2 linked regions of the Caenorhabditis elegans genome follow. The protein of the gene in region 2 interacts with the protein of the main gene of each other region in a pairwise test. Each region holds a gene or a part of one and is shown on either strand. Other genes may lie near its edges. The genes, in order: ttm-1 and K08E7.5.

Region 1 (15,304 bases), on a different chromosome or scaffold from region 2:
TCTGATTCTTTTTCGTAGCTTCCAAGAGTTCATTAAAACTACAATAACCCGATTTATTTCGCTATGAGACCAGAATCTTGTGCCAGATTTTTCTTCAAGCTACTCTTTTCAAATAATTACTGGACAGCCCCAAATTCTAATTTAAGAATTTTTTGTATTTTGGTCTCTGGAGGTAGATTTTTGACCTCTTCTATATTTTTTTTTCTAATTCTTACGTTATTTACTATAGATACATCCAATCAAAACCGATTCTTGGCCATTCTCCGTACAAACTTTTCAATCTTTGAAGGGCAAGAACAGTGATGATGTCATTGAACCATCGGAACAAAAATTGTTAGCATCGGTCGACTGAGACTACACTGAATGTATCTGGGCTCTGGTGTCGATTTACGGACTCGATTTTTGATTTGTCGATAAAATATAAAAATTAAAAAAAAAAAGAAATTCATTGCAAAACCCGATCCCGTTAATCGACGCTACAGTAGTCATTTAAAGAGTTACTGTAGTTTTCGCTTCGAGATATTTTGCGCAATACGCATTCCCAGAATTTTGTGTTCTCGTAATATATTTTTACGGAAATTTTAGATTGCCTGCTTGATTTTTTTCCGTAGTTTTAACTTTCCATTTTATCAATTGTAGTTTCTGATTTCAACTTTCAACTGATTGGTTGAACATTTTTGGAAACGAGATAGAAACGTGATGTTTCGATCATTTTTCCTTGCTAACTCACATTTCTCACACTTTCATCATAAGATCATGAGGAACGGAAAAATGTTTAAATGATCTTAGGCTTAGGCTTAGGCTTAGGCTTAGGCTCAGGCGTAGGTTAAGGCTTAGGCTTACAATTAGGCTTAGGCTTAGGCTAAGATTTAGGCTCAAATCTATTTTATTCCCGAAATTTCATAAGTTTCGTCGGTTTCTGTATCTTAAAATTTTTCTCTTTGAATCTTCAAAAATATCACCACACAAAAATTGCCAAATTCCGGTCCTTCTCCATGTCCACTTGATACATTATGTTTGATGGCTACTGTCACATATCAACGCCTTCTGATATGTCCGGTGTTGTCTATGTCTCTTCGTCGTTTTTAATAATTATGAGAAAAATTGAAAGAATTCTGAAGGCGTCGTCCACTACATAGCTTCCATGTGATGACGATTTCTAGAATTTAAAATTTCAAAATTTCAGAAATATGCCCTACAAAATTCCCGCCAGTACTATAAATATAGTTGGCGCCCTATAAACAGTCCTTTCAATTTTCCCCCATCTTTGACCCTCACATTTTTCATTTTTCTATTTTCCTTCAATTGACATTTACTGATAAGAAACTTATGAAAAGCGGAATACATGAACGATTTTTGATGAAATCATGCTGAGTCAGAAGTTCAAGTGACATGTGTTTTTTTCTATTTGTTTGTTTTAATAACTTACTCGTTGTGCATTTGAACTTGATGTTCTCACCGGAACAGGCGACACGTGACCTTACAGCAACTGATAATATACCGTATTTTACCCGTAGCTCATATCTTGGCGGTTCTAGGAATTATCAAATATTTTCTGTAAGAGAAGGTTCCTGATGCTCTCGAAACTACAGTAGTCGATAGTATACCATACTTCCTCGAATAGTAGTGCAACCCATAAATTCATCTTGGCGGTCCTAGGAATGATCAAAAATTGCCAAGTTTTTATTATTAATTTTTGTTTAGTAAAAAGTTTTAATTGGTTGAGATATCAGTAAAGTTTATTAGACTCAAAATTGTCAGAAAACACCGAATTTGATAATGAAACTTTTTGAAAAATGCTGAAAAAAGTTTTAAAAAAAGTTATGGCGGCTCAAAAAATGACCTCAAATTAGTTGAATTTTGAAATTTGACCAACTTGTCTATGTCGCAAGTTACCAAATCTGGTGATCCTTCGACCTTAATTGTACTCAAGTTGAGTTGAAAAAGAAAAATAATTGATTTCCATACCTAAAATTAGACGGTGATTTCAAAAAAAAATAGTTTCCAGCCGCTTGACAAGTCTGTCAAATTTCAAATTTTAACCTATTTTAAGTCATTTTTTGAGCCGCCATAACCTTTTTTTTGAGAAGTTTTAAAGAAGTTTAATTATGAAATTTCGTGTTTTCAAACAATATAGAGTCTAATAAAGCAATTTTTAAAAAATTGACTAAAGCACCTTTAAGTGCGAGACTAATATAGAAAATACGACATGGTCGCTGTGGCTAAAAGTAGATCTTTTTGCACAGGTTACGTTACTAAGCGCTCTTACAGTAACCTTTCACTAATCCTATAAGTTTTGTGAGTGAACTCGCTGACCTTGGCAAGATTTTTAAATTTTGAAGCTCTTTGAGCCATCATAAGGAGTCAAAATTTGCCCAGCTCGGCAAACTCCAAAAAAAAATTTTAAAAAGTTTTAATGATATTTCTAGGAGCTCCAAAATTACTAAATTCTTAGCACAAGTTTAATTTTTGAATACCTCAATTTTATGTTTTTTTACTATAATTTTTTGAACAAAATCAATAGTTTCGGTCAATTTTTTAAAATCCAATTTGAGGTGTTTGCGGCAAATTCGCCACAATTGCCGCACACTCCTAATAAGGTCATTTCTAATTGCAGTACTTCTCCGGAATACATTTCACGAAACTGTATCACAAACTAGAATGACGTCTCCCCCTTATCACACTTTCACTCCTCCTCCTCCTCCGTCGACATGTATATAAATTTTATGAAAAAGCCCCGACATTTAATCACGAAAATGCTGACACTTTTTTAAGACACCTATACTGATAAAGAGTTCGGTTCACATTACGTCCTTTTCACTTTACTTGATCTCTCTTTTTTTTTGTCTCAACTCTATCATTTTTCCAACAAAAAAAAACTAGTTTCTCATATGTGTGGGAGGTGTGTAAATCATCTCGGCCTCCTTTTTTTCTTTCTTTTTTTGTCTTTTTTCGAAACAATTTCCGTTTCACATTTTCTGCACTTTTATTGCTTTCTTCAGTTCTCTAGAAAATATTTTTAAATTACCTAATATTTTTCCACGTGATATTGTTGCTACTTATGTTATCACATGAGCCTTTTAAAGGGCATCTAATAATATTTTTTTTATATATAAATTGTATTAAAATCAGAGATCAAGCGATCAGAAGATGATTTTTTTAAAGGATTCTTATTTTTTTCCTAAGAATCTTGTAGATCACAATTTTTGAACACAAATTAATTTGAAGCTTAAGCCTAAGCCTAGGCCTACGCCTAAGCCTAAGCATTAGCCTCATCTTAAGCCTAAGTAAAATGTTTTTGTAAAAATTCTGATGAGTTCTAAAAAATCACTAATTATTTTGTTGACTCCTTCTTTCCCCAACTAGTTTGAAAAAGTTCAATTCAAGCCCTGAAAATTTGTACCTTTTTTTTTGTAGTTCCTCCCTAGTTTCCACAACTTTTCTGGGAGTTTGTCGAAAAAATAATAATGTAGCCAAAAAGTAGAGAATACCGGAAATTCGACCCCAAAAAATTCAAATTTTCAACAACTTTTTTCTGAGATTTTTGAAGGATTTTTGATGGATGAAAACACAAAATACTTGATCTTTACATTTTCTCAACTTATTTTTTGAAGTTCAAGACATAGAATTTGTGTCTTTTTGAATTCAGAAGACCATTTAGAGGCAGTCTTATGTCCATCTCTCGCCTACATAAACGGCACATCAAACGATCTTGACCAAAGTTTTGTTTCACCTTTTTATTTTCTAGAAGTCTGCCAAAGTCTGTAAATTAAAATTAATTAAATTCCCAGTAGCTTAACAATAATTTTTACACTTTCGCCTCGTTTACAGGGAGGTAGATCAAAATCGTTTTTTTTTTCCTTCACTTTTCACTTGCAAGTCTCTCGTTTTTGCTAGATAGATAGATGCTTGATGGCAGGAAATACAATCTGGTTCTTCTTCTGCTTTTCCTTCATTGACTATCTATAATCTCTCTCCTCGTGTTTCTTATTATGCGCTTGTGAATTTTTTTTGAATGCCTCACATTTTCAGTCTTGCAATTCTTATTGCTTTGCAGAAAGCAATAAGAATTTTTTTTGAAGTTTTTTTTTCTGTTGAAAAGTTTCCAATTTTTTGTAAGAATTTGTTTGCTTTTTTGCTTTTTTGAACTTTTGGCATGAATTTTTTGGTTTTTCATATAACTTTTTCCTGGAATTTTTTTCCAAAAAACTTAAAAATTTGTGCAAAGCGGAGTTTTCAAGCTAATTTCTTTTTATCTTGTTAAAACTGATTTTTTTTTGAAAATTTTATGTCAAAATTTTTTTCATAAAAGTTGTAGAAGCTTAAAATTAAATGTTTACCTAATTTAAGAACCACTTGAGGTTTTTTTCAGAAATTGTATTTTTGAAAAATAAAATATAAAATTTTTCGATTTTTTGAAAATTTTCTAAACTTTTTTAAGGCAAAAAATATTTTTTTTTCTATTCTTTTTAATCTAAAAATTGCCGGATTTTTTTTGAATTAAACGATGAAATTTGAAGAAAAAAAATCTGGCATTTAAGTCGGTATTTTTTGAAAAATAACTGAAAATTAAAAAAAAATTTTTTGGAAAAAAATCCAAAAAAATACAGATTTTGAAAATATTCACGAAATTTCACTGGCTTTGAAACTTTAAAAAATGCACTGAAAACCTTCGAATTTTTCAATTCAAAGTACTAACTTTTTCATAAGAATCTAATTTTAGAAAAAAATGTATTTCTATTGAAATACGTCCAAAAGTAAGCTGGCTCGCGGAGCTCTTGGAGCTTCATATCCAAAAAAAAAACAAATTCCTGCATGACTCGAAAGATCTTTGATTTTTAAAAATTTGCATAAAAAAATCTTGCGACCTTCCTTCCCACTCAATTTTTTTCCTTTTTTTCCTATCAGCCAGAACGTTTTCCCATATTCAATTTTGTTCTCCATTTCCTTTTCCTATTCTCCTGTTTATTGTGTTCCTTATTCTCTTTTTTCACCCCATTTTTGTCTTGTTTATTTGTTTGTCAAAACGCATTCCACCGCTCCCCAGTCTTTGTGTTGTTCTTTGAAAGGGGACAACAAAAAAAATCGCGGAACTAAGTAACTAAGTTTTTCATTTTGAAATTTCGCTGCTCTTGTCAGAGTGTCCCACGTCGTTTTGATCTACGAAAATCTACAAAAATTGCGGGAATTTTTGGTAGATCAAACCTTGATGGGACAGCCTGACACACATACACGTGCCGTACTCATTTCTCTTAATTCCCGTTAAATATATTTTTTGAAATCTCTAGAACTATGACAATCTCAATGATATCTCCGTCATCAATCCGCCTATCCAGTGACAAACGTGACTCTTCCTCATCCAACCTGCCCGCCAACATCGAAGAGGACACCCAGTCGGTGTCCTCTTCGGATTCTGGAGTATCTGCCGACTCTATTGACCACCATCATCACGGTCATGGGCATGGGCACTCTCATGGGGGTCATGGGCACTCACACACACACAATAATGATGATTCCTCTTCGGATTGTAGTGGAGCAGGAGGAGGAGCGCATAAGCATAGTCATGATGAGAAATATCAAAAGGTACATAGCAAATTTTTTTGCAACATGGCTCAACTTTTACCTCTATTAAAATGACCATTATATTAAAACTAAATTTTTCAAAAAATGTTGCTTTTAATTTTAATTATTGCTATCTATGTAAAAAGCCCAAAATCGACCATTTTAGCATAAAAATGTGTTTTTTTTAAAATCAAGCCAAAACACGAGCTCGCAATTATACATATCAGAGGAAATTTTCAACTCCGGCAATTTGCCGATTTGCCGGAAATTTTCAATTCCGGTAATTTGACGATTTGTCGGAAATTTCCAATTCCGGCAATTCGCCGATTTGCCGGCAATTTTCAATTCCGGCAATTTGTCGATTTGCCGATTTGCCGGCAATTTGTCGATTTGCCAGAAATGTTCAATTTCGGCAATTTGTCGATTTGCCGGAAATTTTCAATTCCGGCAATTTGTCGATTTGCCGGAAATTTCAATTCCGGCAATTTGTCGATTTGCCGATTTGCCAAAAATTTTCAATTCCGGCAATTTGGCGATTTGCCGGAAAAAATCGTTTGCCGCCCACAAATATCTAGCAATACGACGACTTCCTGTGAATTGAATATTTCATCCTAAAATGTTGAAAAATATTGGAAAAGTGTCGAAAATTTCAATAACTGATTTTTTTTCCAAATTTAAATTAGTTTCCCTGAAAATGTTCTTGAAAAATTGCAATTTTATTTGAAATATATAAAAATCAAGGCATTTTTCAGTTAGCGGGACGTTTTTTTGACAAAAATGCGAAAAAAAAACGCAAAAAATATGACAAGAATTTATACATTTGAATATTTTTCTGAAAAAATCAAAACATTATTTGACGCGCAAAATATTTCGACGCGAAAACTACAGTAATTCTTTGAATGACTACTGTAGTGTCGATTTACGCGGCTCTATGTTCATAGATTTATCGATATAATATCAAAATTAAGCAAAGAATGAAAACAAAGATAATACGAAAAAGCAAAGAAAAACTGCGCTAAAGTAGTAATTTATTGAATTACTGAATTACTACGAGATATTTTGCGCGTCAGATATGTTGTGCAATACGCAGTCTCACGTGATGTCAGAATGTCTCATTTCGGCTTTATCTACGTAGATCTACAAAAAATGCGGGAGAAGAGACGCAGAGTTCGTGCTGACGTCACATTTTTTGGGCAAAATATTCCCGCATTTTTTGTAGATCAAACCGTAATGGGACAGACAGCCTGGCACCACATGCATTCTCAGAATTCAGTGTTACCGCACAATTTTAGTAGTAATTTTTTTAAAAACACAGTGTATAACTTTAAAAAAAAACATTTTTTCGCCAAAAAAAAAATGGACATAAAATTTTTTGTTTGGATTTTCCAACTAATATTTCTCGTTTCCAGGGTCGCCGAGCAGAAAAAGTGCTATGGGCAGTTGCAGCACTATCCGCAGTCTTCATCGCCGCCGAGTTCGTCGGTGGATTCTGGGCTCAATCGCTAGCAATTATGACAGACGCCGGACACATGCTCAGTGATCTTCTCTCATTCATCATCTCAATTTTTGCGATTCGTTGTGCACGTCTTCCCGCATCGAAGCGTCTTTCATTCGGTTACGAGCGAGCCGAAGTTCTTGGTGCTCTGACGTCTGTGATCATTCTCTGGGTGCTCACGACAGTGCTCGTCGTCGTCGCTATTCAGCGAATTGTGAACAATGAGCATGAGGTGGATGCTGATGTGATGCTCATCACCGCGGGCGTCGGAGTCCTTTTTAATATCGTTATGGGATTGGTGTTGCACTTCGGAACTGGAGGTCATGGGCACACTCATGGAGGACACTCAAGTCATGGACATGCTCATGATGGAAAGAATGTGAATGTTAGAGCTGCTCTGATTCATGTCATTGGAGATTTGGTGCAATCCATTGGAGTCCTGATTGCTGCCCTTATCATTAGGTTTACCGGATGGACACTTGCCGATCCGATTTGCACATTCCTTTTCTCGATTATCGTGCTCTTCACGACGGTTACAGTTATGCGGGACATCTTTTTCGTTTTGATGGAAGCCACACCGAGCCACTATGACTTGAGTGATGTGAAGAAGGCGTTGAGTGCGTTGGAAGGTGTAAAAGGTGTTCATGATTTGCATTTATGGTCTATTGGAATGGATAAGACTGCGTTTTCGGTGCATTTGGCACTTGGTGAGTGGCTTCTCATTTTGGAGTTTTGAGTAAAACTGAGAAAATTTTGGCGGAAAATTGAAATTTTTCAATAAAGATTTTGGCGGGAATTCAAATTTTTCAATAGTTATTTTGGCGGGAATTCAAATTTACTTTTAAAAATGTTTGCCGGGAATTTCAAATTTTTAAAAAATAATTTTGGCGGGGAATTCAAATTTTTCCATTGAAGTTTCTACCGGGAAATTCAAATAATTTAAATATATATTGTGGATATAAATGCAAATTTATTCAATCAATTTTTGGCCGGAAATTCAAAATTTTAAATGAAAATTTTGAAGGGAAATTCAATTTAGAGCAAAAATTGGATTTTAAAAATTTCAAATTTTCTCTGAAAAACTTTGAATGAAATTTAAATTTTCTGAATAATTTTTGGCGGGAAATTCAAAGTTTTGATATAAAGATTTTGGAGGAAATTTAAATCTTCTGAGAATAATTTTTAACGGGAAATTCGAACATTTTTTATAGGAATTTTGGCGGGAAATTCAAAATTTTAAACTGTTAGTTTTGGCGGCAAATTCAAACTTTGGCTATAAAATTTTTGGCGGGAATTCAAACAATTTTCTTTCGAAAAATTTGCCGGGAAATCGAGTTTTCCTTTAAAAATTTTTTGGCAGGAAATTCAAATTGTCTCTCTGTTGCACGTGGGGTCAGAATGTCTTATTTCGATTTGATCTTCAAAAAATGCGGGAGTTGAGACGCATACATCTCATCTGACTTCGCATGGTTAAGAGCGTGCTGACAATTTTTCTGTAAAAATATTCCCGCATTTGTAGTAGATCAAGCCGCAATGAGACAGCCTGACACCACGTGCTATTGAAGTTTTGAAGATAAATTCAAAATTTTCAATAACAGTTTTGGCGAGAAATTCAAATTTTTTAAATGAAACTTTTGAAAAAAAATTCAGATGTGCTCTAAAAAAATTGGCAAAAAAATTCAATTTTTTCCAATGATTTTTGGTGGGAAATTCAAATTTTTAAATGAGAATTTTGAAGGGAAATTCAAATTTTTTGAGAAACAATTTTGGCGGGAAATTCAAAGTTTTCTGGAAATTTCCTGGAATGTTCTGCAAGGGAAAAGTGCTGCCTTTCATGATATTGAATTTTAATATTTAATAAAAATATATTTTTCTAACTCTTCCAATATTCCAGAATCTCCTAACCGCGCCATGGAAAATGTTGCCGAAGCCCGTTCCCTGATCCGCCGGCGATTCGGAGTTGCCGTCGCCACTGTCCAAGTGGAGCCGTTCGACGAGAAAATCGATTCCTGTGACACGTGTCAACAACAGGAAACTGCTTGATTCCAGTCCTCCATCGTTCTTCTAATCTATTACGATACGGGCAAACTTCTACGTTTTTTTTTTCCAATCAATTTCATTTTTTTCAAAACGTTTACTTTTCTCGACTTTTCCTGTCAGTTTTTTGACCTACTCACACGGGTTGTATTCATTTGGCACATCCAGAGATGCCTACTAATGTTCATATTTTTCCTTACTGTCCAATCCTGTCAAATCGATAATAAATGGCTTTAATTTTTTTTTTTTGAAATTTTTGAAAGAAAATCGAAATATTAAAAAATCAATAATTTATTCAAAATCAATATTTCTGAAAAATCGATAATTAATAGAAAGTCAGTAATATTCGAAAAATCAATATTCTAAAAATCGATCATTTTTTTGAAAATTGATATTTTCAAAAAATCGATAGTTTATAGAAAATCAATAATTAAAAAATCGATTGTTTATAAAAAAATCTCTATTTTTGAAACATTGTTAATTTGCTACGAATCAGTTTTTTAATTGATAAATCTTATAAAACCAGTATTTTTAAAAATTGATAATTTTAGAAAATCAATATTTAAAAAAAAATCGATAATCTATGAAAAATCAATATTTAAAAAATCAAAAATTCATTATGGCTCAATGTTTGAAAATCGATCATTTTTTTTCAATATTTAAAAAATAATCGATAATCTATGAAAAATCAATAATTTAAAATAAATCGATAATTGTATTCCTGAAAAATCGAACACTGAAAGAAAATCAATATTATTTTTTGTTGAAAAATCAATAGTTTTTATTGAAAATCTATATTTTGAAGAACAACACAAAATCGAACGAAAAATCCAATATCTTTATTCATTTTCCACCCAAACTGTTTTATTTAAAGCGGGAAAATACTGAAGTAAACGAGAACGAATAAAACCAGACAAATCGTCCAAATTCCGAGCATTGTCCAGTAGACGATTTTCGCGTTTTTCTGGAAATATTTGAAGATTTCTTGGGAGGAATATTTTGCACAATAGTGGGGAGAAAATCGATAAATTAAAAATGTATATATCGATAATCTATGGAAAATCAATAATTTTAATAAAATCGATAGTTTATAGAAAATCAATATTTAGAAAAAAATCGATAATCTATAGAAAATCGATATTTTGTAAAAAAAATCAATATTTTAAAAATCGATAATCTATAGAAAATCAATGTTTGAAAAATCGATAATTTATTGAAAATCACTAATAAAAAAAATCGATAATTTATAAAAAACAATATTTTGTAAAAAAAATCGATAATCTATAAAAAATCTATATTTTGCGAACAATCGAACTTTTATAAAAAATCGGTATTTAAAAAATCGATAATCTATAGAAAATCGATATTTTGTGAAAAAATCGATAATTCATAGAAAATCAATATTTTTAAAAATCGATAACGTAAAAACTCACAAGCTTGTTCTTCAACTTTTTGATCTTCGCCTTATTGACTCTCGGCTTAATGGACGAAGGATCCGACTCGGGCAACTCCTGAACCCCATCACCAACCACATCACCACTTGCCACCTTCTTATCCGATACGAGCCCACCGGCGGCTCCGTGAGCATCTGGCGGTGGCGGTGGCGGTGTTCCTCCGACTGTCGGCGCATTTGGATTCAGATTGTCGTAGGGCATCGCGGCGAGATTGTGGTACTCGTCATCGGGTTTTTTCTGATCATTCGCGACGGGAGCAGTTGGATCGAAAAATGCATCGGCCATTGTTTGCAGAAGATGAGAATTTTCTTTTATTTTATTATTTGATTTGCCACCGAACTCTCTTTGAAACAGAAATAAATTTTTTTGAGAAGGGGAGGAAGGGGCGATTATATCATTTAAAAGTTTACGGAATTTTCAAAATAAATAGTAAATTTTTTCCCACTTTTTCTGATTTTTTTTTTTTTTTTAAAGTTCAAAATTTTTAATTTTCATAAATCAAAAATTTGAAAATGATTTTTTTTACATTTATTATTATTTTTTTGGTCAAAATTTTGTTTTTTCTAAATCTGTTTAAAACCACTGTTTTCAGAAAAATCACAACTTTTTAGTGTTCGGAGATCAATCTTCAAAATTGTGATTTTTTACAATAAGTTTCCCATTTTTTGCACTTTTTTAATAGTTTTTGAAGGGTTAAACCTTGTTTTTCTGAATTCAGCATATATGAATTACCCATTTTCAACAAATTTAGACAGTTTTTTATTTTTGTCCAATTTTCAGCCATCTAATGACTGTACTTTTTTCCTTTTGGAAAAAAAAAATTAATTTTTCTGAAATCGTACAAAATCATTGGAAATTGAAAAAAGGACAATTTTTTAGTTGTTGTACACTAATTTTGAGTTCTCTAACTACGAAATTAAATATTTTAGAAGAGTTTCAAAAGTGTGAATTTTTGCCAAAAATTGTCCAATTTTGCCACTTTTTAATAGTTTTTTTGTGGGTTAAACCTAGTTTTCTAAATTCTCCATATATGAATTACCCGTTTTTAACAAATTTAGACAACTTTTTATTTTTGTCCAATTTTTCAGCCATCTGTCCTTTTTTTGGGCAAAAAAAATAATTTTCCTGAAAGTGGTCAAAGCTACTATATTCTAAAAGAAGACAATTTTTAGTGTTCCGAGATCAGTTTTGAGTCCTCTAACTATGAAATTCACAATTTTAGAAGAGTTTGGAAATTGTGAATTTTTACAATGAATTTCCCATTTTTTTCAGCCATCTTACTGTCCTTTTTTTGTTGAGCAAAAAAAATAATTTTTCTGAAAATATTCAAATCTACTATATTCTAAAAAAAGGGCAATTTTTTTTAGTGTTCGGAGATCAATTTTGAGTTTCGAAAATTTTCAGAAAAATTATTTGTTGCCCAAAAAAAGGACAGTCATAAGATGGCTGAAAAAAATGGGCAAAAATAAAAAATTGTCTGAATTTGTTGAAAACGGGTAATTTATATACGGAGAATTCAAAAAATTTAGGTTTAATCCAACAAAAATCTAGATTAAACCCATCAAAAACTATTAAAAAGTGGCAAAAATTGGCATTTATTGACAAAAATTCACACTTTTGAAACTCTTCTAAAATGGTTAATTTTGTAGTTAGAGTACTCAAAATTAGTGTACAAATACTAAAAAATTGTCCTTTTTTTCAATTTTTAGGGCTTTTATGCATTTTTTTCTGCATTTAAAAACTATTTTTTTGCCCTAAAAAAGGGCAGTCATTAGAGGCTGAAAAATTGGACAAAAATAAAAAATTGTCTTAATTTGTTGAAAATGGGTAATTCATATACAGAGAATTCAGAAAATCTATAAAAAAGTGTCGTATTCACTACAATCTTTATATAATATGAAATAATGCAATAAATAAATTAAATACTGTTTCATAAAATATACATTTCTTTTTGGGTTTCAGGTTTTCTTGAACATTTTCAAATCTAAGAAGCATATGGGGAGCTCAAAATAATATAAAGGTACAGAAGCAGCGCGAAAAAATTATTCCAAAGACTCTCCAATGTCCACAATTTCCTTGATGAGAAAGTCGAGGTCCTCGCGAGTGATTGCCTGAAAATTTTGAGAAAAAAATTATTGAAAAGTTGCCTCCACAAGATTTTCGAAATTGAAATATTTTCTTTACAGTCAAAAAATAGAAAATATAAAAAATTTCATTTTTTGCCAAATTACCAAATTATTTGTTTCAAAAAATTACATTAAACGCCTGTTCCATACCTGATTCGAAATAATCATTCGGAAGAAATTTGGTCGCTGCTTATCCGGTTGATATCCAACCATTGTGGTACCTCTTTGCATCATGCCGGCTTTAATTTTTGGGGCAATTTTCTCCAAACGAGCACGCATTTCAGCAGGCTCCAAGTTTCGAATCTTTGAAGGCACGTACCAGAAACAAATGTTCAGGAATTCGGGCTGAAAATTTGAAAAATTTGAAGTTTTTTTTTGTTTTAATTAAATTAACTTTGAAATTAATTTTTTTTTAAACCCAGTGAAACATTTTATAAATTTCATAAAAATTAAAGAAGTAATCATACTGCAGGCTTCAAAATTCCTGCCTAGTAGGTGCCTAGCAGTGCCTACCTGCCTACAAGACAGGCATAACTCGCCTCGAAGGTATGTAATTTGATTTTTTTCGATTTAAAGTGTTTTAGATATTTTTCAAGCAGTTTAAAAAATGTTTAGATGTTTCAATTTCCTTTTTTTTTTTAATATTTTTTCGATTTTTCAGAGATAATCACAAAATCGAAAAAAGTGTTTAGAAAAATTAACAAAAAAAAACGAAAAATTGACCAAAATATTATGATCCAAGGGTGGGCGGCAAACGATTTTTGCCAGAAAATCGGCAAACCGGCAAATTGTCGGAATTGAAAATTTCCGGCAAATCGGCAAACCGACTAATTGCCCATTTTCCGAATTTGCCGGAACAATGGCAATTGCCCAAATTTTCGGCAAATAGTGGCTTTGCACATTTTTTTTTTTGGAAATTTCAGAATTTCAACTTCAATCGGCAAAATTGTACGCATCCTATGAATATCTAAAGAAACGGAAAAAATTTCAAAAAGACACAGGTTTAAGTCCTCTAAACACTTCCGGCAAATTGATATCCGGCAAAAGGCTACTCGGCAAATTGCCGGAATTGAATATTTCCGGCAAATTGGCAAACCGGCAATTGCTCACCGAAACTCACATTCTCAATAATCAACTCAAATCCTTCAGTTTCCTTAATTCTCCTGGTAAAATAGTTGGCCAAATCCATCAACTTATTAATTTGCTGACGATATCCCTCCATTCCCTTGCTCTTCCACATCAACCAAAGCTTGAAAACATCATTGTGCCGTCCACATTGAATGGCTTTATCTCCAGTATCAAAGCTCACATCGTACGGTTTATCTTGTTGGAATAGATAATCAGCCGACATTTGATTACACTGGAACAGTAGTCCATCCTGACGGAACAAGCATGCCGAGCACTGGAGAAGTGCTCCCATGAGCTTATGTGGATTCCATGTCACTGAATTAGCTCTCTCAATTCCTGCCAGCTTGTACCGATGCTCGGGAGACAGGAGCATTCCACCACCCCAAGCGGCATCCACGTGGAACCAGAGCTTATGACGTTCACAGATGTTTGCGACTCGCTCCAATGGATCAAATGCTCCGTAGACAGTTGAGCCGGCTGTGCAGCAGGCAAAGAACGGGGTCAGACCCTCTTTTTTACATTCGATAATCTTAGCTTCTAGAGCTTCTGGAATCATTTTTCCATTTTTATCGGTTGGAATGTTGAAGCAATAGTCTGCGCCAATGCCAAGAACAGCGGAGGCAGATTTGATGGAGTAGTGACTCTGCAAATTTAAGGTTTTAGAGGAAAAAAGTGGCAGAGAAAAAATTTCAAAAATTGCCGAATTTCCCGTTTGCCGAGCTCGACAAACTTGGAAATTTGCCGCACGGCCCACAAAATTGGATTTTAAAAATTTGACCGAACAAAATTATTCAAAAATGGTGGGCGGCAAACAATTTTTCCGACGAATCGGCAAATCGGCAGGGTTTGCACTTAAATTTTTTTTTAATTTTCGGCAAATTTGTAACCCACAATTTGCTAAAAATAAAAGTTTCCGGCAAATTGGCAATCCGACAGTTTGCCGAAATTGAAAGTTTCAGGCAAATTGGTAATCCGGCAATTCGTCAATTTAATAAAAATAAAAATTTCCGTCAAACTAGCAAACCGACAATTTGCCGGAATCGACAGTTTCCGGCAAACCGGCAAACCGGCAATTCGTCGATTTGCCAAAAGTAACAGTTTCCAGCAAACTTGCAAACCGGCAATGTGCCAGAATTGACAGTTTCCGGGAAATCGGCGAACCGGCAATTCGTCGATTTGCCAAAAATAAAAATTTCCAGCAAACTAGCAAACCGACAATTTGCTGGAATCGACAGTTTCCGGCAAACCGGCAATTCGTCGATTTGCCAAAAATAAAAATTTCCAGCAAACTTGCAAACCGGCAATGTGCCAGAATTGACAGTTTCCGGCAAATCGGCAAACCGGCGATTCGTCGATTTGCCAAAAATAAAAATTTCCAGCAAACTTGCAAACCGGCAATTTGCCGGAATGGAAGGTTTCCGGCAAATTGGCAATCCGGTAAATTGCCAGAGTTGGAAGTTTCCGGCAAATTGGAAAACCGGCTTTTGCCGGAAAAAAAATCA
Region 2 (16,455 bases):
AAGAATCTGCTATGGCTATGGAACAAGGAACAAGTGTGTATAAATGAAACATACTTTTAAAATGTAGAAAAGTTAAAACACATTACATGTTTTGGCAGCGATTCTAAAAATAATTTGTCAGAAGCTTAAGTCGTATTTGTGTCAGAAGCTTAAGTCGTATTTGTGTCAGAAGCTTAAGTCAGTATTTGTGTCAGAAGCTTAAGTCGTATTGGACTAAGTCATATTTTTAGATTTGTGAAAATACCAAAATACCTCAAGGTCCTTCAAAGCCTTCTCATGAACATTGGCATTGATTGCGAGCAAATATTTCTCCAGTTCGAGGCGTCGGCTCTCAAGTGTGCAAGTTGTTTTCACGGTGTTCGGTGTCTGGAGATGCAGATATTTCACGACGCCTTGACCTGGTGAAATATCTAACGCCAATAGTTTTTAGGTGATCAAAATGCGTGACATAAAATCAGGACATGAAAATTGACGCACTAAAATTATAGATTAACTTGCGAGGGTGTAATTATATTCCTAGTAAACAAAAATGTTGGAAAAAATCTAAAGAAAGAAATTTTGAAAAATTTTAAGTTGGTCTATTGATCAAGAGAAATTAAGGTCAACATTTGACAAAGCGTCTTTGCCAGCAGCCTTACGTGAAAGTTGTTTTCACACAGAGTTGTAAGACCTTTTGATATTTTAGGTGGATCCAATTTTGAAAAAAATGCGCCTTTAAAGGAACATTTTCGAAATTGTGCAGCCACGTGGCAGTACTCGTAATTCTACAAAATCCCGCTGCACAAACCCCAAAAATAGTTGTCCAGACCGAGAAAAAAGAGATTTTAGAGAAGCAGGGAGCCCATGCCATCTGCGTCGAATTCCATTCTCTCTTCGCCTTGCACACATTCATGCTTTTCCACCCGCCAGAGTCCGTATATTTCCTTCCCGGGGACACAAGAGAGGGAGAAAGAGAGAGAGAGAGACATCTGCTGGCTGTTTGGGGGCTGTGTCTATGTTTATACTAGTCATCATCACTTCTTGTCTCCTGTGCCCCCCAAATGCCTCTCATTCCCGTCAAGCTTTTGCCTCCCCCTTCACGTAATTCTCAATTTTATAGAGGACTCGAATTTCTTGTATTGCATTAATTTTATTATTACAAACTTTCCCATTGGAGAAAAACTGTGGTCAGCAAAAAAAATGAACAAAATCTAGGTGGTTATAATGATATTCAGGCATGTTCCTGTTCAGGCGTTTGTTCCTGTTTCATGCCTAGCCGTTTATTTTCGGCATTTTGGCATAACAACTTAAAATTTAAAACAAACTGTCAAATTGTTTTTATTCGTCGTAGATCTATGTATTTCAAATAAATTTTAAAAATTCAAAAATATGATTTTTTGGTAAAACTTTTTTTTTCTGAAAAGTATTGTTTGATCGAAAGTTACAAAAAACAAAAATTGTTTTTTTTTCAATTTTAACTTTACGAAGAAAAAAAAACTCTGCATAATCGAATTAGTCCTAGTCATTTCCAGAGCCACACTTTCCACATCACTAACTTTTCAAAATCGGAGAAAAGATTGATGAATCTTTTTTCAACTATGTGAATGTAAAGCTTGAAACAAAATTTAACCATATAAGACTAAAGTTCAGAAAAAATTTGAATGTTAAACATTGTACAAAGAGCGGATCACCTACCGCTTCTCGCCCGGTGTGCCTTCAAAAAAAGAGCAACAAAGAATTTAACAACCGTTACTGATTATATGAATACTAGAAAATGATTTTTTGTTTCAAACACACAAAATTGAGTGATTTTGATGTTTAAAAAGTTACACGACTAGGAACTTGTTCAGAACCCAGTTGTGTGTTCAGTATTCAGTAATTCAGTCGTTTTCGTGCTCCAAAACACATAAAATGTTTCGTTTGTGAAGCACGGTAAATTTGCCGAGTAAATTTTGAGATTCGCCGCACACCGCTGTTCTCAACACTCTTCATTCATTACTTCCTACTCTACACCATGTCTCCTACTGCAAAACGAATGCTTCCAGGTGAAACTAACCCACTATGTCATCACGAATGTCTCGAAAAACGCTAGTCGACACTCCGATCACTCCACAATCATCCATCGGTCACATACTACGAGCACAGTTTGCGCTGCAAAATCAGCTTCCCGAAGATAAACCGAAGACTATCGGGTTTAATGGTAGGAATCAATTTTAATCTTCGATAGAATAAAGAAATAGCTTTTGCGATAAATTTTCAATTAAAAAAACTAAATTTCAGAAGCCGAAAATATGAAGCTATACGAACTATACTCTGGAAGACGTGAAGAATACCACTCAACACGACCATCAGGGCAAAGGAATGAGGAAGTTCCGATGGTAGGTAGACATTCTAGGCTCGAAAAAACTTTTTTCAAAGTTTTAAGGATACCTTGGCAAGAGAATGGGCCACTGAAATAACGTCGATGGGATTTGCAGAACGGACGCCTGCACAGATTAAGCAACGGATTAGGGATATGAGGTATGGGTCAAGTAAAAATTTATTTTCCTTTTTTCCATTTTTCAAAGCAGCTCAATATCATTCGTTTAATTTCAGAAAATTCTCTCGAAAGCATGCCCACAAACTGGGTATCACCAACATGAATGCGGGACAAGAACTCGAACGTTATGCTGAATTTAGTTGGGCCGAGCCAAAACGACGTTCCCGTGGGCCAGTACCCGATTGGATGTCCGGCCTGGCGGAAATCATGATGAGCGAACAGGACACAAAAGCCGACGATGCAGACTCGGCGTCGGACATCATGGAAGCCACTTATGGTCCGAAAGCGAAGAGGCTGAAATTACAAAGGACTGAAATGCAATTGCATCAGTTACAGTTGCATTTGGATATGAAGCAGCGAGAGTTGAAACAAGAAAGAGAGAAAGAAGAAGGAAATGGTAATGATGAGCAGGAGGAACGAGAAAAAAGAGATGTTAGTCCGGAAACTTTGCTTATTGAGAAGAAGTTGAGGTTAGCGGATGCCAAGTTGCATACGGAGCATTTGAAGCAACAGGTGAGTATTCCGTAGAGCAAGAAAAAGTAAATCATGAATTTATAAGAGTTATTTATCTTCAAAGTTCTTGTTTCATAGTTATTGAAGTTTGAAAAAAAACACAATTACATTATGAAAAAAGTGAGCAAAATGTGTTGTCAATTTAAGTCTCAGCTTTCAAAGCTGAAGCAAAAATTTCTGATAATTTTGAAGAAAATTTTAATATTAAAACTATGTATTGTAATAGTGAATAAAACATACTAAAAAAATCGGCCAACTGCCGATTTGCCGGTAATTTTGATTTTCGGCATATTGCCGATTTTCCGTTTGCCGAACATCAATTTGTCGGAAGTTTTTGGAGGGACTTTTTATAAGACGGAAACACTTAAAACTGTGCCTTTTTGAAATTTTTTTCCCGATATTTCTAGATATTTTCATAGAATTTGCATACTTTTAAAATAGATGTTGGAACATAGAATGCGTACAATTTCGCACTTGGAAAAAATTGAAAAAATTGAAGTTCTGTAATTTCCAAAAGAAATGTACAAAGCCACAATATGCCGGAAAGTTTCGGCAAATCGGTAATTTGCTGGGTTGTCGATTTTCCAAAAGTTTTCAATTCCGGCAACTTGCCGATTTGCCAAAAGTTTTCAATGCAGGCAATATGCCGAGTTGCCAAAAGTTTTCAATTCCGGCAACTTGCCGATTTGCTAAAAGTTTTGCAATTCCGGCAACTTGCCGAGTTGCCAAAAGTTTTGCAATTCCGGCAACTTGTCGATTTGCCAAAAGTTTTCAATTCCGGCAACTTGTCGATTTGCCAAAAGTTTTCAATTCCGGCAACTTGTCGATTTGCCAGAAGTTTTCAATTCCGGAAATTTGCCGATTTGCCGGAAAAATCGTTTGCAGCCCACCCCTGTTTCAGATCACAATTGATATTAATTTCAGGCTCTCCGTCTGGAAATTGCCAGTTATCAACGCCAGCTCCAACTCTACGATGATCAACAACAACATCAATCTCTAGCGTCTGAAATAGCATCGTCGAGTAGTCCAAACGAATTTCTGAACATGAAAATTAATGGGTTTTTGAAAAGCCATAGTCCATAACTTTTTAGATTTTTTCTTATTTATATTTTTTTAAACAATCACTTGCGATCTCTAGTTGTCTTCCTTGAATAATTCCAATTTCACACACACAATCATTCCGGCCCATAATCCCATCAATTTCGGGTGACCCGGTTCCTTTTCTGTCCTTCTAATCTTACTACTTTTTTGTTAGATTTTCAAAAATGAACTATTGCAATTTATTGTATTAATAATATGTTTCAAAAACACTCTGAGAAATAAGCAGTCAATATGATGATTCTATGAGGTATGTACAACCCGTCGATGTGATCTTATCATCTGTGAGCTCTACATAAACGGCACCAGCGCTTCTTTCTTCTGGCGATATGGACATCTGAAATATAGGAAATGTTAGTTACACTACAGTCAATACTTAGATGTGCTCACCTTGAAAAGTCGCAACATGTGGAGTCACACTGCATCGGAGCTCTCTTGACGAGCTTCATGGTGACCGATCGCTTCTTACGGCCACATCCGCAGGGTTGCTGAAAAGTGTCAAGATTTGAGAGTTGGTTTTCGTATTACAATGTTGAGTTTCACCTGGCCAAGGCGTAACATGGGAACTCGGAACTTCGTATACATTTTGTCATAACTGATTTTCAAGTTATTCAAAAGTTATAATCTTATTGTTAGCTACTTATTTACATTGTACTTTCTAAATTTGAATTCCACCTAGCATTTAATTGGAGGCATTTTTCGAGTCAAGTTGGGGGAGGCGTGAATCTCATACCTGTGGTGCACACGGCGAACATCCTCCAAATAGACTCCTCTTGTAGCGATTGAACAAATGACCCATACTATTACATTGAGAACATCCCGATTGTGATAGGGTACTGCGTTTCTTACGACCCAGGCATGGAAGACATCCCTGTAAGAAAATTGATAATTGATTTTTTGTGAGCTCGCAGTACTCACCATTCTCTTCACTCTAATATGAGAATTCTCATCGGTATCTCGCTTCTTTCTTCCCAGACACGGCAGACATCCCATACGCTTGACACGTGGCGATCTGAGATTTGACGCTCCACATGTGCCACACGAATTTTGACTCTGAAAAGTGGAGTTTTAGTTCTATCCATTCACTCTGAAACGTCATACCATCGTCGAAAAACCGGAAGTGCATCCCGGAGCTGCACGTTTCTCTCGGTGATGCAACACAGATCTCCATGGCTCACCGGCAGAAGAGCACTGATGACAGTTCGAGTTAATTGAGTGACGCTTGAGACGACGTGATTTGTGCATTCTCCGTCGACATGGACACGATGGGCAGGCTCTACCACAGATTGGAATAGTCGGAAGTTTAAAGTTAATCGAGCAACAAGTTGGTGGAGGGAGACAGACTGGCGCTGGCTGACAGCAAATCTTCGGTTGCGGGCAGCAAGGTATTGGTGGACAACATGGAATTGTTGCTGAACAAAGATAGTTCTAAGAATGAATTGTACGGATTATTTATGTCACTTACGGAGACAGCAAGGAGCAGGTGGAGCACAACAGTTTTGAGGCTGTGGCTGGCACCCGCAGGATGGTTGCTGATAAGATTGTGGGTACTGTGGTTGGTATTGCTGGAAAGGTTGTTGGTAGATGGTTCTGGAAAAAAAGTGACATATTTCCATTTAAAACAAAGACTTACTGTTGTTGAGCGACTGGTTGTGGCTGAATATAGGCGTTCCCTCCAACGGTGTTCTGGAGAGGGACAAAGTTCTGCACTGGCTCGGATTCGACTGCAAAAAAAAGTTTCGACCACGGCAGGATTCGAACCTATTTTTGTGACCAACGGGGGAGTCTTGAGGAAACTTACGTACCTAACTGCCGTGATGGGTCGACTGCGTGTTGAACATGCAATGGGTCAGCCTAGAAATTATTAAGTTTAAAACAGTGCTGCTTTTTTTTAAACCTGTGTCTCAATATTTCTGCTCACAGACTGCTTCTCGTCACAACATGAGCAACATGTTGGCGACTTTCTTCCAAGCTTCTTCTGTAATGTTTAATTTTTATTATATTTCAAAAAAATCGGCTGAAATTTTAAAATAAAACCATAAAATCTTTTCCGGTTACAGCTGTAATTCCCTTCGATGATTCACTAGTAATTCGCTGTTCATACTCCACAGGTTCCCGCGCCGAGTTCTCGAAAGATTCTGAAATAATGTAAGATTCATATTTTTCTTCCAAAAATTTTTGGAATATCGATATTATTTACCAGCAATCCGATCAATTTCTGAAATTTGTGCTCTCACTTGAGTGTTCGTGGTAGTGATGGTGGAAGGATTTGTGCCGTGCTGTGTTCTGAAAAGTGTGTGCCTAATTGTATCTTGATTTTTCTCCAAAACTATTAAGTCTATAAAAAGTTATTAACTGACAAATTGTTCGCCAAACTTTTTTATACATTTTGTTAGTTGACAACTTTTTGATAGCTCTCGTAGTTTCCGAGATATATGCGTTTCGAGCAAGATTAAACATGATGCATCGAGGACTCGATTTCCCACAAAAAATCACCTCAAAGGCACAATTGCCACATCATTCGTCCCGTCATATCCTCCATCGTCCGGGTATTCTTCAAAATTTGAATTGGCACGTGGAATGTCAGATGGTGCAGTGATAGTGCCAAAGTGATCATATGGGTCTCGTGCGGAAATCGCATTGTTCGAGTTAGATGGTGAACCGGTGCTTGGTGACGTGGCATGTGACATATTCATCATTTTGCCCGCGTGATTATTGGCTCGTGCTCCGTAGTCTAAAACGTCCGGGATGTAGCTTGGCTCACTGCCAGGAGCATTGTCATGGTCAGACCAGGAACTGTCAGATGGATATGGTTTCGAATTGCTGGGCTCAATGCTACGTGGTATTTCGTATGGCTTGTCATCTGGTTTAGTCTTTTGTGACGCAGTACTAAGAGCTTTAGGCTCAGAATATCCAGATTCTGTTCCAGGACCCTCAAAGATACTTGGCCCATTGTTTCCCATCGGTTCGTACCCTTGTGACTCTGAAAACGTGTGTGCTCTGGGAATGTTTTGTGCGGCGTGACTGGGTGCTTCAGGTAGACCATTACCGGGACCAGAGGGGCCAATTAGTTCAGAATATCCAGGTGGACTATTAGACGTGCTCGGATTGGTGCCGGGTGCTTGCTTCGGTAAGAGCACAGAACTTTCTGATGATGGCTCTAAAAAGTCGGGTGATGTGGAGACATGGTGAGTGATTGTGCTTGACTCTTGTGGTGATGGTGCAGGTGGTGAATTGAGCGTGGAGTATTTTGTATATTGATGATCTGGTCCTTCCTTGAAACTCGGGACTTGACGTTCATATCCAATTGGCCCTGTTGGTGACGATGGTGCAAAGTAATCAATCTTAGAAGGAGTAATAGCGGTTCTTGAAATTGCATCAGATCCCTTTGGATTCTCTCGGTGTCTTATTGAAACATTTTGTGGACGTCCAGGCCCGCCGGATTCATATCCTGATTGGGAGGCTAACCGATCTGTTTGAGGGTTCTGAGAGTTAGACCGAGGTTCGGTGCCAGGTGCCTGCTTTGGTGTAAGCATAATATTTTCTGCATATGGTGATGGTTCTGAAAACTTGGGTGCTATGGTGATAATTGGTGTTTGTACGTGGTGAGTGGTAGTGCTGTGAAGACTTGGCTCCGGACCAGGTGCTCTGGCATTTTTCATGAGATGTGCTGCAGTTTGTTGAGGTGCTTGGAGTGAGTTAGGTGATTTTGTGCCACTAGCTTTTGTCCGAGTTGTCTCCTGCGGGCCATCTTCATAATCCCTTGGCCTTGGCTGTGTAAGTACATGTTGTGAATTAGATGTTAAGGGTGTTGAAAATGGAGGATCAGACCTTTCCTTCGAGCTTGATGCGTATTCAATTGACACTGCTGATGGTTTAGTGTAGTCCGTGATATTAGGAATTTGGGCTCTTGAGTTTGCTCCAGACACCGCTGGGTATCCAGATTCGTATTCTGGCTTCTGGGTGCTCGAGTTGTCTGAGTAAGGATTCTGAGAGCTATACCGAGCTTCAGACTTAGGTTCGGTCCCAGGAGCCTTTCCTCTGCTAGTAGAAGATCTTGATGTTTCAGTGCTGTTTGGTGCAAAAGTGTGCTGAGTGGTGGTGAGCGGTGCTGTGGGGTTACCTGCCATATTTGAACCACGTGAAGCTGAAGAGCTTGGCTTTGTACCTGGTACATCTGTGAGCTCTTTGTAGTCATTCGACGATGGAATAGAACCATCTTGCTCATACTGGTTTTCAGATGGCTCAGCGCTAGGAGCACTTCCCTCCGGATACCCGGAAGCATGATCATCTGACCATTTGGAACTTTTCTCAGATGATCCTTTGTTTGGTGCATCCTTCTTCTTTTGAATCAATTGGGTTAAAAGGTTTTGTGGTGCAGATGGATGCGGTGGAGGTGGATCATGCAGTTTGGGAGGGTCTGTGCAAAAGTTGGGATTATTAGTGGTAGAGTGCCGTGCTGGTTTTAAAGACAGTTTGATAATCTGGCTAACTTTGAATTTTGCGCTTATATGTCCACTTGTGCGCTATTTTGCGCTTATATGTCGATGACAATGGCCACTACATGTATTCAGAAGACCTATCTTTATTTGAACTCCAAAAGTTGAAAAAGGCAGTACACAAAATCTACAATGTGACATGTGACACTACTAGAAAATTGTTTTCAGATGTTAAATATTTAGAACGTTAGTTTTACATATTCTCTAGATACTCAATTATATTTTCCTATTCCAAATACCTTTCTTATCCTCCCCGGTGGCTGTGGCAGAACTTCCCCCGCCGTAAAGTAAATCCAAATTATCAGTGCTCTCCGATTGGTCGGATCCGGATTCCGGATCATTTTCTGGTGCTCTAGATGGCGCTGGTGGTGCAGTGGTGGTTGATATTATATTTGTGATAGTGACAGGTGTTTTGGTGGTTTTGTGCAGCTTTGATGGATCTGGAGTGAAGTTTTATAAAACACGTGTGTGTGAAACCACTATTTAGGTGTTCTGGTGCATAGGTGAGATATTTCTACGTGGCCACAAAACTCAACTTTCCACCAACCTTTAGTACTACTGCTCGGCGACACTTTTACTTTTTCTTCTTCTACGGGAGTAGTGGTAGGTTCTGGAGTGGGTGTTGTTGCAGGTTTCGACGTGGTTTTCTTGGGTCCAGATTCGGCTCCGGACGCTAAATAACCACTATTTCCTGGGTCTTCTGGAGATTCACGGTCTGTTGAGATGGACGCGATCGACTGGAACGCTGGCATTTTTCCGCTGCCTGCGGAGGGTGGGACTGAAAATTAGAAGGAAGTTATTGACAGGCTATTCTGATTTTGCTACATGACTGCCGAGAAATGATAATCTGGAAATGAAACGTAATATAAAGTGCAAGATAAACTCGGCCAACATTTACAGGGAAAAATTGATAATAATTTGGAAAATAAATTTCAAAAATTGCATATTTTTTCTAACGTACCCTTCTTTGGCTCCTTTTCATAATAAAAATCATATCCGGTCCATGTGCTTTCATATGGATTTTTGGGCACTTCCATATCATTACCAGCTCGTGTTTCTTCTTCTGGATAGGTCCCTGGCGCACTTGCAAACCCTAGAACATTGTGTCCTTCTAGTAATAGTACTAGAAGGACAACTAGATGTATCAAAAGCCTTCGCATATGGAATTGATCTAGAATATCTGTGTTTAGTTTTTATTGAAAAATTGAAAGTTGCAGACAGGATAGAAAGAAGGGTTTTGACTTTACAATTTCTAGGAGCAAACTATTTTTTAAGAAATTATATCAAAGTTTAATTGGTAGAATCCAGAACAATAGTGATATAGCCTTTCAGAATTTAGGAACAAACTAAAAATAAAAAAGGAAACAAATCAAAAACTAAAATGACGGACTGATATTAAAAACTCTAGTACCTAAATTGAAGACTTTGCCTTTTTATGCCCAAAATGACCAAAAACTACCGCGTTTAATGAAACGTTTTGAAAATTTCTCAAAAAAAAGTTAAAAAGTTAGTGGGACACAAAAATGTAACTTTTATTTAGACCCCACTGACCGAAAATGTACTTAAATAAACGAATAAACTTATAATAACAGATTTACACTAGTTTTCAAAATGTTCCAACGAAAATAAACAAAAAAAAACTTAAATGACACATAGAAGGGTCAAACCGAAAGCATGTCAAAAATCTCGAGAAAGAGAAATTTCCGAATCCACCGGTATTTCTTGATTTGTGAACTGGCTAATCGACAAGTTTCCCCTTCTTCTCTGGATCGGAAAAGGAAACCGACAGGCAAGAAGGAGAAGGAGAATGTTGAAAAAAGAAGAATCCATTATCATTTAGCCCTTCTATGAAACATGGCTAACGGGATAAGCAGTGATAATGGACTTTGATTATTTTCTGATTTATTGGAAATAATTGGGGTGTGGTCTGTGGAAAATGTGATCTCTTATGGAACGAATAACTCCGTTGGGATAGGAGTTGGAAAAATATTGTCAACTGACAAAATATTTTTGAGACAATTTTGATTATTTTGATAGTTGACAATATTTTTGTATCTCTTACAGGTACTGAGTTATTAAGGATTCAAAAATCAGCAAGTTTACAAATAGAAGTAGACATTTTACCAGGGGGAGTATACAAGAACGAAGTGAAAAACTGGACATGCAACTTTGAACCATTGTTTACTGTTTTTGAAAGTAATTTTTACCTAATTTTCCAAAAACAGAGTAAATTATGATTTTTTTTGCGATGTGGCCGGGAATAAATAACAACTCGGCCACCAACTTTTTCGCTTCAATTTTGAAAATTTTTGAAAATGTCAGAAATGTTAGATAAAACTATACTAGAAAAATATCTGCAAGCTTATTACGATGAGATATCTGAAAGACAGAAAAAAAACGTGTACAGACCGCCCATATCATCTCTCGGTCTTGTCCAGAAGATGGACGTCATGCAGATGTTGCATAACAATGAAATTTGACAGGGGAAAAATAATATAACGTAATCGACGTGCTTGATCTCTTAGAGAATCGGGTTTTTGTCTATATTTTTTTATTATCGTCTGCGCATATTATTTTTTATTTTCCCTTCGGATATATTTTTGAGGAAACTTTGGAAGAGAAGGGGGCAGCGAACCAGAGAATCTTAATTTAATAAGATGTGATCTTCTGGGAAAATAGGACTTTGCACCATCTAATAAAAATATATGCTGTATTTCCTCTATTAGTCTCTATTAGTCTTGCACCCCACGGACCAATTGAAAATTAGTCTTTCATTTTATTTAATGCGAAAAGGTTTGCGTCTCTAAAGAGTACTGTAATTTCAAACTCTCGTCGCTACCGCTGTGATTAAGAAATTGCCGGCCCAGGTGTTGCAAAAAAAATTGCCCACATTTGCCAAAATTTACAGGATGTTGAAAAATGCTTTCAGATGCTGCCAAATATTTCAGAAAAAATACTGAAAATTGCTGGAAGGCCGGTTCTTTCAGAATTTCAATTTTAATCGGCAAAATTGTACGCATCCTATGATTTTTCCTACGTCTATTTTGAAAAGTAAACAAGTTCTATGAAAATATCTAAAGAAAACGGGAAGAAATTTTCAAAAAGGCACAATTTTAAACGCTTCCATCTTATAAAAAGTCCCTCCAAAACTTCCGGCAAATCGGCAAACCGGCAATTCAATTTTTCCAATTTGCCAAACGGCAGTTGCCGCCCATCTCTGTCACAAAGTATATGTTAATGTAGAACCAAATTTCTAAACTTTAAACTCATTAAAAATGAAAAAAAAAACCAATTTGAAAACTATTAACGCGAACCGAAAATGTGTTTTGTGATAGAAAATTTGAAAAATTTCAACCTTCGAACTTTGAATTTCCGTGAACATTTCTTCCCCTTACAATTTCTCATATATAAAGCCTCCGAAAATCTACAAAATTCATATTTTCTCACTTTACAAGATTCAAAACCTCTCGGAAGCGAAAAAAGAATAATGATCTCGCAAGTGAGTTTTCTGTCAGGATTCTGATATTTTCCAAACCTCTCGCTTCCAGATCATTTTGCTATTAACTCTCAATATCTTGCCATTTGTGCTGGTCCATTGTGGGAGCAAGAAGAAAACAGTGGCTCCAAAACCGGTCGCTAAACTTATGGCAGCACCTGCTGGAGGAGTCGGAAAAAGCGACTCATTCGATTCGAAGAAACAAGACGTTCCATCGTCAAAGAAGGATGAACCAGTGGCTCCAAAGAAAGAAGATGTGAGTTATTTTTGGCATATTTTAAAAGACAAAACGAACGTTTTTAGGAGGGCAACTACGAGGAGCTCGCCATCCCACAATAGTCCTCAATGTATCCTAATAAATTTTTTGAAATTCCCCCTTTTCTGTGTTATTAAAGCATAGAAGAAAATAAATACATATAGATAAATCATCGTCAAAATTTATGGAACAAAACGAACATCGAGAATTTCAATTCAACCAGAATTGTAAAATAACATTTAGAAAAATGATGATAATGACACAAGAATTCGGTGAGCGGGGAGGAATGGAACAAAATAAATAATATATTGAATATATACATGGGGCGAAGATTTTTAGATTTATTTACGCAGCAATCTTGTGAACAATCCTTTCTTCGTTTTCTCACATGCCACTTCTCTTAGTGGTTTCTTAAAAACTGCCGGAGATGCTTGCGGTTTATCCGGAACTGGTGGTTGCCAATCATTTCGACTTCTGGTGATCTTTGCGTACCGAGGACCACTATATCTGTCCTTTTCTTCACATTCCAATCGTTTGACCTGTTCGATAAATTCAACAGGTACTGCAAAAAGAGATTGAAAGTTTGCGAGGAGGACAGCGGTTATCAGCATTCCTTGTTGCTTTCGGCATTTACTACAAACACCTGTCCAGAGTCCGATGATTGCCTGAAATCGAAAATTTAAAATTGATATTACGCAGACGCAAAAGTTCGCGACAAAAGTACGGTACCGGTCTCGAGGCGACAAATTTTTCTTTTGTCGAATGAAACGAATGAAGATTTCTGCAGAATTTTAATTGTTGAAATATAGGTGTTAATTTTGTAGTGCTAAATTGATAAATATTTTTTTTTATCAAATAACTAATTAAAATCCATAAAAATTCGGCAGAAATGAGAGTTTGAAATTACAGTACTCCTTGAGGGCGCACACATTTTCTTATCTAACAAAAAGTTGTCGTGTCGAGACCGGTTACAGTAGTTTTCTTGCAAAATTATCCCCTCCTTACCGCTTCCCGATTGTTGGAAGATCCGTTAGAAGGATCAGCGAGGTCGAAAACTGCATTCGTTTCGATCGATTGAATGAATGTAACAAATTTGTGAAGTTTCCGACGTCGTGAAGTTGGAAGCGAAAGAAGTACCAATTGAATTGCTTCGATCAACCATTGCTCTCGGATTTCGTAGGATTTTTCGTCTGAAATTATAATTTTAAGTAAAAATCGTGAAACTGTAATAAAAATAAAATTCTTTACCTTGTATTTCCAAATTCACTCTATTATCAAATGGTGATAACGCACGTCGTCGATACTTTGAAGCTCGAATTCCGCATGCTGGAAGATCACGGGAGAATCCATCGACCATCAATCCAGCCTCCTCAATACTAGACGCAGACGAAGAAATCATCACTTTCGACCATCGCCTTGCAGGCCCATTGTCAAGCATTGCCGCGAAGCTATCGATTTTGCAGAGGAGATTAACAATAAGAGAGCATTCATCGAATTGAAGAGGAGCATTCAAGTCTTCGAGACGATTGACTAGAGTTATGAAAATCCGATTGACGTTGTATTCCAACCCTGTGTCCATTTTTTTATGCGTGACGAAGGGATATCGAACAAGATAATCCATGAATTGAATAACAGTTTGGGGATAATCGGGCTGCAGTCCCTGACATCTCGATTTGACGATTCCATCAGCATGATCTATTTCAATCATGTTCCACTGAATATCGTATCCATCGACTTTAGATGCCCATTCACAGGGAAGAGTGCGATCGTAAATTTGTTCCAATCGTCCAAGCAGCTCTGTTTTCCAAAATGAGCATTCGTTGTTTGCCTGGACAGAGTCTGCAACTGGAACAACCGACGATCTTCTCATGATGGATTCGTACATTCTTCCACGCGATAACAATGCTGGATTTGATCCTGCGATGCTTGTCCGATGATTTTGATATCTGCTAGGAACTGCAGGCAACGGTCCTTGTGGATGCATAAAGACGACGTCTTTCGGGGCTTCTCGAATTGGCGGAGTGGTTACTTTCTGACTACGAAGAGCAGCTTCAGCTTTTTCTTGTTCCAAAACACAATGATTTCGATCAAGGGATGCTGAACGACGGGTTGGTTGATTGACTTTCGTGTGATTTCGTCTTGATTTGAAAAACGGTAACCAATCATAAACCTTCTCTTTCATCTCAGAAACTTCTCGTTTTTCAGTATATTCTTCTGTACAGATACTTTCAAGTGATCTGTTCAAAATCTTCGGAGTTCGTTGTTTCTTCGGGATTTCATCGTCTTTATGATCATCGAAACCGTGATTCTCAACGCCGCCTGAAGAATTATCGATGCCTGCTTTGTCAATGTTGCCATTAGATCGCGATAATCTTCGTGGGAGCCTTGCCTTTGGTGGCCGGTGCATTGTCGCGGCAGGAGAGGCAGGTTGAGCAACTCTGGAAATATATTTTATAGCACAGTTTAAAATGATTATTTGGCATACTTTGCACTTTTGCGAGCACCACTGAAAGACGCTGATCGACGTGATCGGGGCTTGGGATGCTTCAACTCATCCAAAGTCTTCATGAACAAATATATTCTCGATTCACTGAATGGCCTCCTTTGCTTGACTTTCTTCGGGAAGGCTTCTGAAATCACGTTCATGTCCATCATGAACTCCAGGAACTTCTGCATCTTGTCTCGTTCCGGAACATTGTTAGGGATGATTCGTGGCATTTCAATCATCAGAAAATCCACAGCTTCTTTCCCGCTGAAACTGTTTTCCGCAGTGGCCAATCCTCTTCTGTTCGTTTTGAGTGATAAGTTTGAACGAAAATGCCATAGAATTTCGTCGAACTGAAAATCAGAATAAAATTTCAAAAGACAAATGTGAAACATTTTAATACCAGATGCGTCGCCTTGAACTTCTCCGATGAGTAGTCGGCAGACATCACGGCAAGACGGCCTAAAACTTGAATTTTGATGGTTTATTGATAAATTTAAGAACTTCTTAAAAGAAAACGAGATTTCATCACGAAAAAAAGCAAGAATGAGGAAAAATTTCTGGAAACTTCCTAAAAATTGCTGAAACGAGTGAAGTTTTGGCGCCGAAGTTTTGTTTACGGACCAAACACACGAAAACACGACTTGTCACACAACTTATTAGCTACAGTAACCCATTCTGCTTTGAAAATTTCTCTTTTTAATTAAAAATTCCTCGATTCAGATGTTTTTTTTTTCTCAAAGTGTTTCTAATAATTATATTTTCCTCGAAATCCACACTATTTTACATAAAACAAATCATCTTATTCTGCTCTTTTCGCCGTTTACACCATCTGTCCTTCTCCAATGACTCCTTCTCTGCGTCTCTTTCACTCTCTCGCCGCCCTCTTTTTCTCTGTCGTCTCTCACTTCGACGTACTTTCTCTCGTGTTGTTGTTCCCGTACTTTTGTGTGTTCCACTGTTTGTGAGATGACGGCTAGTTGCCTGGTACTGGATTCTCACCAGTTTTAATTGATTTTTCATCAAATTTTCTTTAAAAACTGATTAAACTTTGTGATTTTTATCGTATTTTTACAGATTTTCAGTTCAAAATGTCCGATGAGAAGTCTACCACACCAACCGCTCAACTCGACGCTCCAGCCGATGGAAATATGAATGATTTGACGTCGTTGGTACGTAAATACTTGAAAAAAATTGTCAATTTTCTAAAAAATCCTAAAACTCAGATACAAGGAGTTCTGCAACAGACACAGGATCGATTCCAGCACATGTCGGATCAGATTATTCGGCGAATCGATGATATGACAACGAGAATCGATGATTTGGAGAAGAATATCAACGATTTGCTGCAATCGAACCAAGTTGAACATCCGCCAAGCGCTCAATAAGATTGGTACGGAATGAGAAAAATGGGAAACATTCTCAAAAATTTCGGTCGATGTTTTGACCACTCGTTATTTTTGAAAAACAGTGTTGTTTTTGATGTCGACTTTGAAATTTCAAAAAAAAACAATAATATGGGCCGTGGGACCCAATTAGAAATACAGTAAAAAACGCTCTTTGGCCGAATATTTTATAATTTTCATGTAT

The links.
Region 1: the proteins of K08E7.5 (region 2) and ttm-1 interact in a two-hybrid assay, tested with the Caenorhabditis elegans proteins (one large-scale study listed by BioGRID).

Annotation. Positions count from the first base shown.
Region 1 is NC_003281.10:12,947,001-12,962,304, reverse strand, and holds ttm-1 (Zinc transporter ttm-1), read left to right. Parts: upstream 1-5,133; 5' UTR 5,134-5,292; coding exon 5,293-5,583; intron 5,584-6,971; coding exon 6,972-7,764; intron 7,765-8,951; coding exon 8,952-9,100; 3' UTR 9,101-9,336; downstream 9,337-15,304. Other genes in the region: Y39E4A.1 (uncharacterized protein), read right to left, coding at 9,963-10,058, 10,528-10,833; unc-25 (Glutamate decarboxylase 1), read right to left, coding at 12,591-12,659, 12,825-13,019, 13,795-14,445. UniProt on the Caenorhabditis elegans protein: Promotes excretion of zinc from intestinal cells into the intestinal lumen in response to increased dietary zinc. Involved in cadmium resistance, possibly by promoting its transport from cells.
Region 2 is NC_003282.8:12,566,714-12,583,168, reverse strand, and holds K08E7.5 (Prion-like-(Q/N-rich)-domain-bearing protein), read right to left. Parts: upstream 9,802-16,455; 5' UTR 9,789-9,801; coding exon 9,590-9,788; intron 9,407-9,589; coding exon 9,176-9,406; intron 9,069-9,175; coding exon 8,868-9,068; intron 8,550-8,867; coding exon 6,626-8,549; intron 6,416-6,625; coding exon 6,330-6,415; intron 6,268-6,329; coding exon 6,167-6,267; intron 6,108-6,166; coding exon 6,027-6,107; intron 5,984-6,026; coding exon 5,935-5,983; intron 5,854-5,934; coding exon 5,763-5,853; intron 5,720-5,762; coding exon 5,595-5,719; intron 5,542-5,594; coding exon 5,231-5,541; intron 5,183-5,230; coding exon 5,048-5,182; intron 5,001-5,047; coding exon 4,863-5,000; intron 4,618-4,862; coding exon 4,520-4,617; intron 4,467-4,519; coding exon 4,421-4,466; 3' UTR 4,299-4,420; downstream 1-4,298. Other genes in the region: K08E7.6 (Myb_DNA-bind_5 domain-containing protein), read left to right, coding at 2,041-2,179, 2,260-2,357, 2,405-2,499, 2,575-3,031, 3,956-4,114; K08E7.4 (uncharacterized protein), read left to right, coding at 12,116-12,127, 12,177-12,380, 12,428-12,463; Protein let-99, read right to left, coding at 12,722-13,045, 13,386-13,570, 13,629-14,818, 14,866-15,218, 15,269-15,313; hsb-1 (Heat shock factor-binding protein 1), read left to right, coding at 15,957-16,037, 16,092-16,253.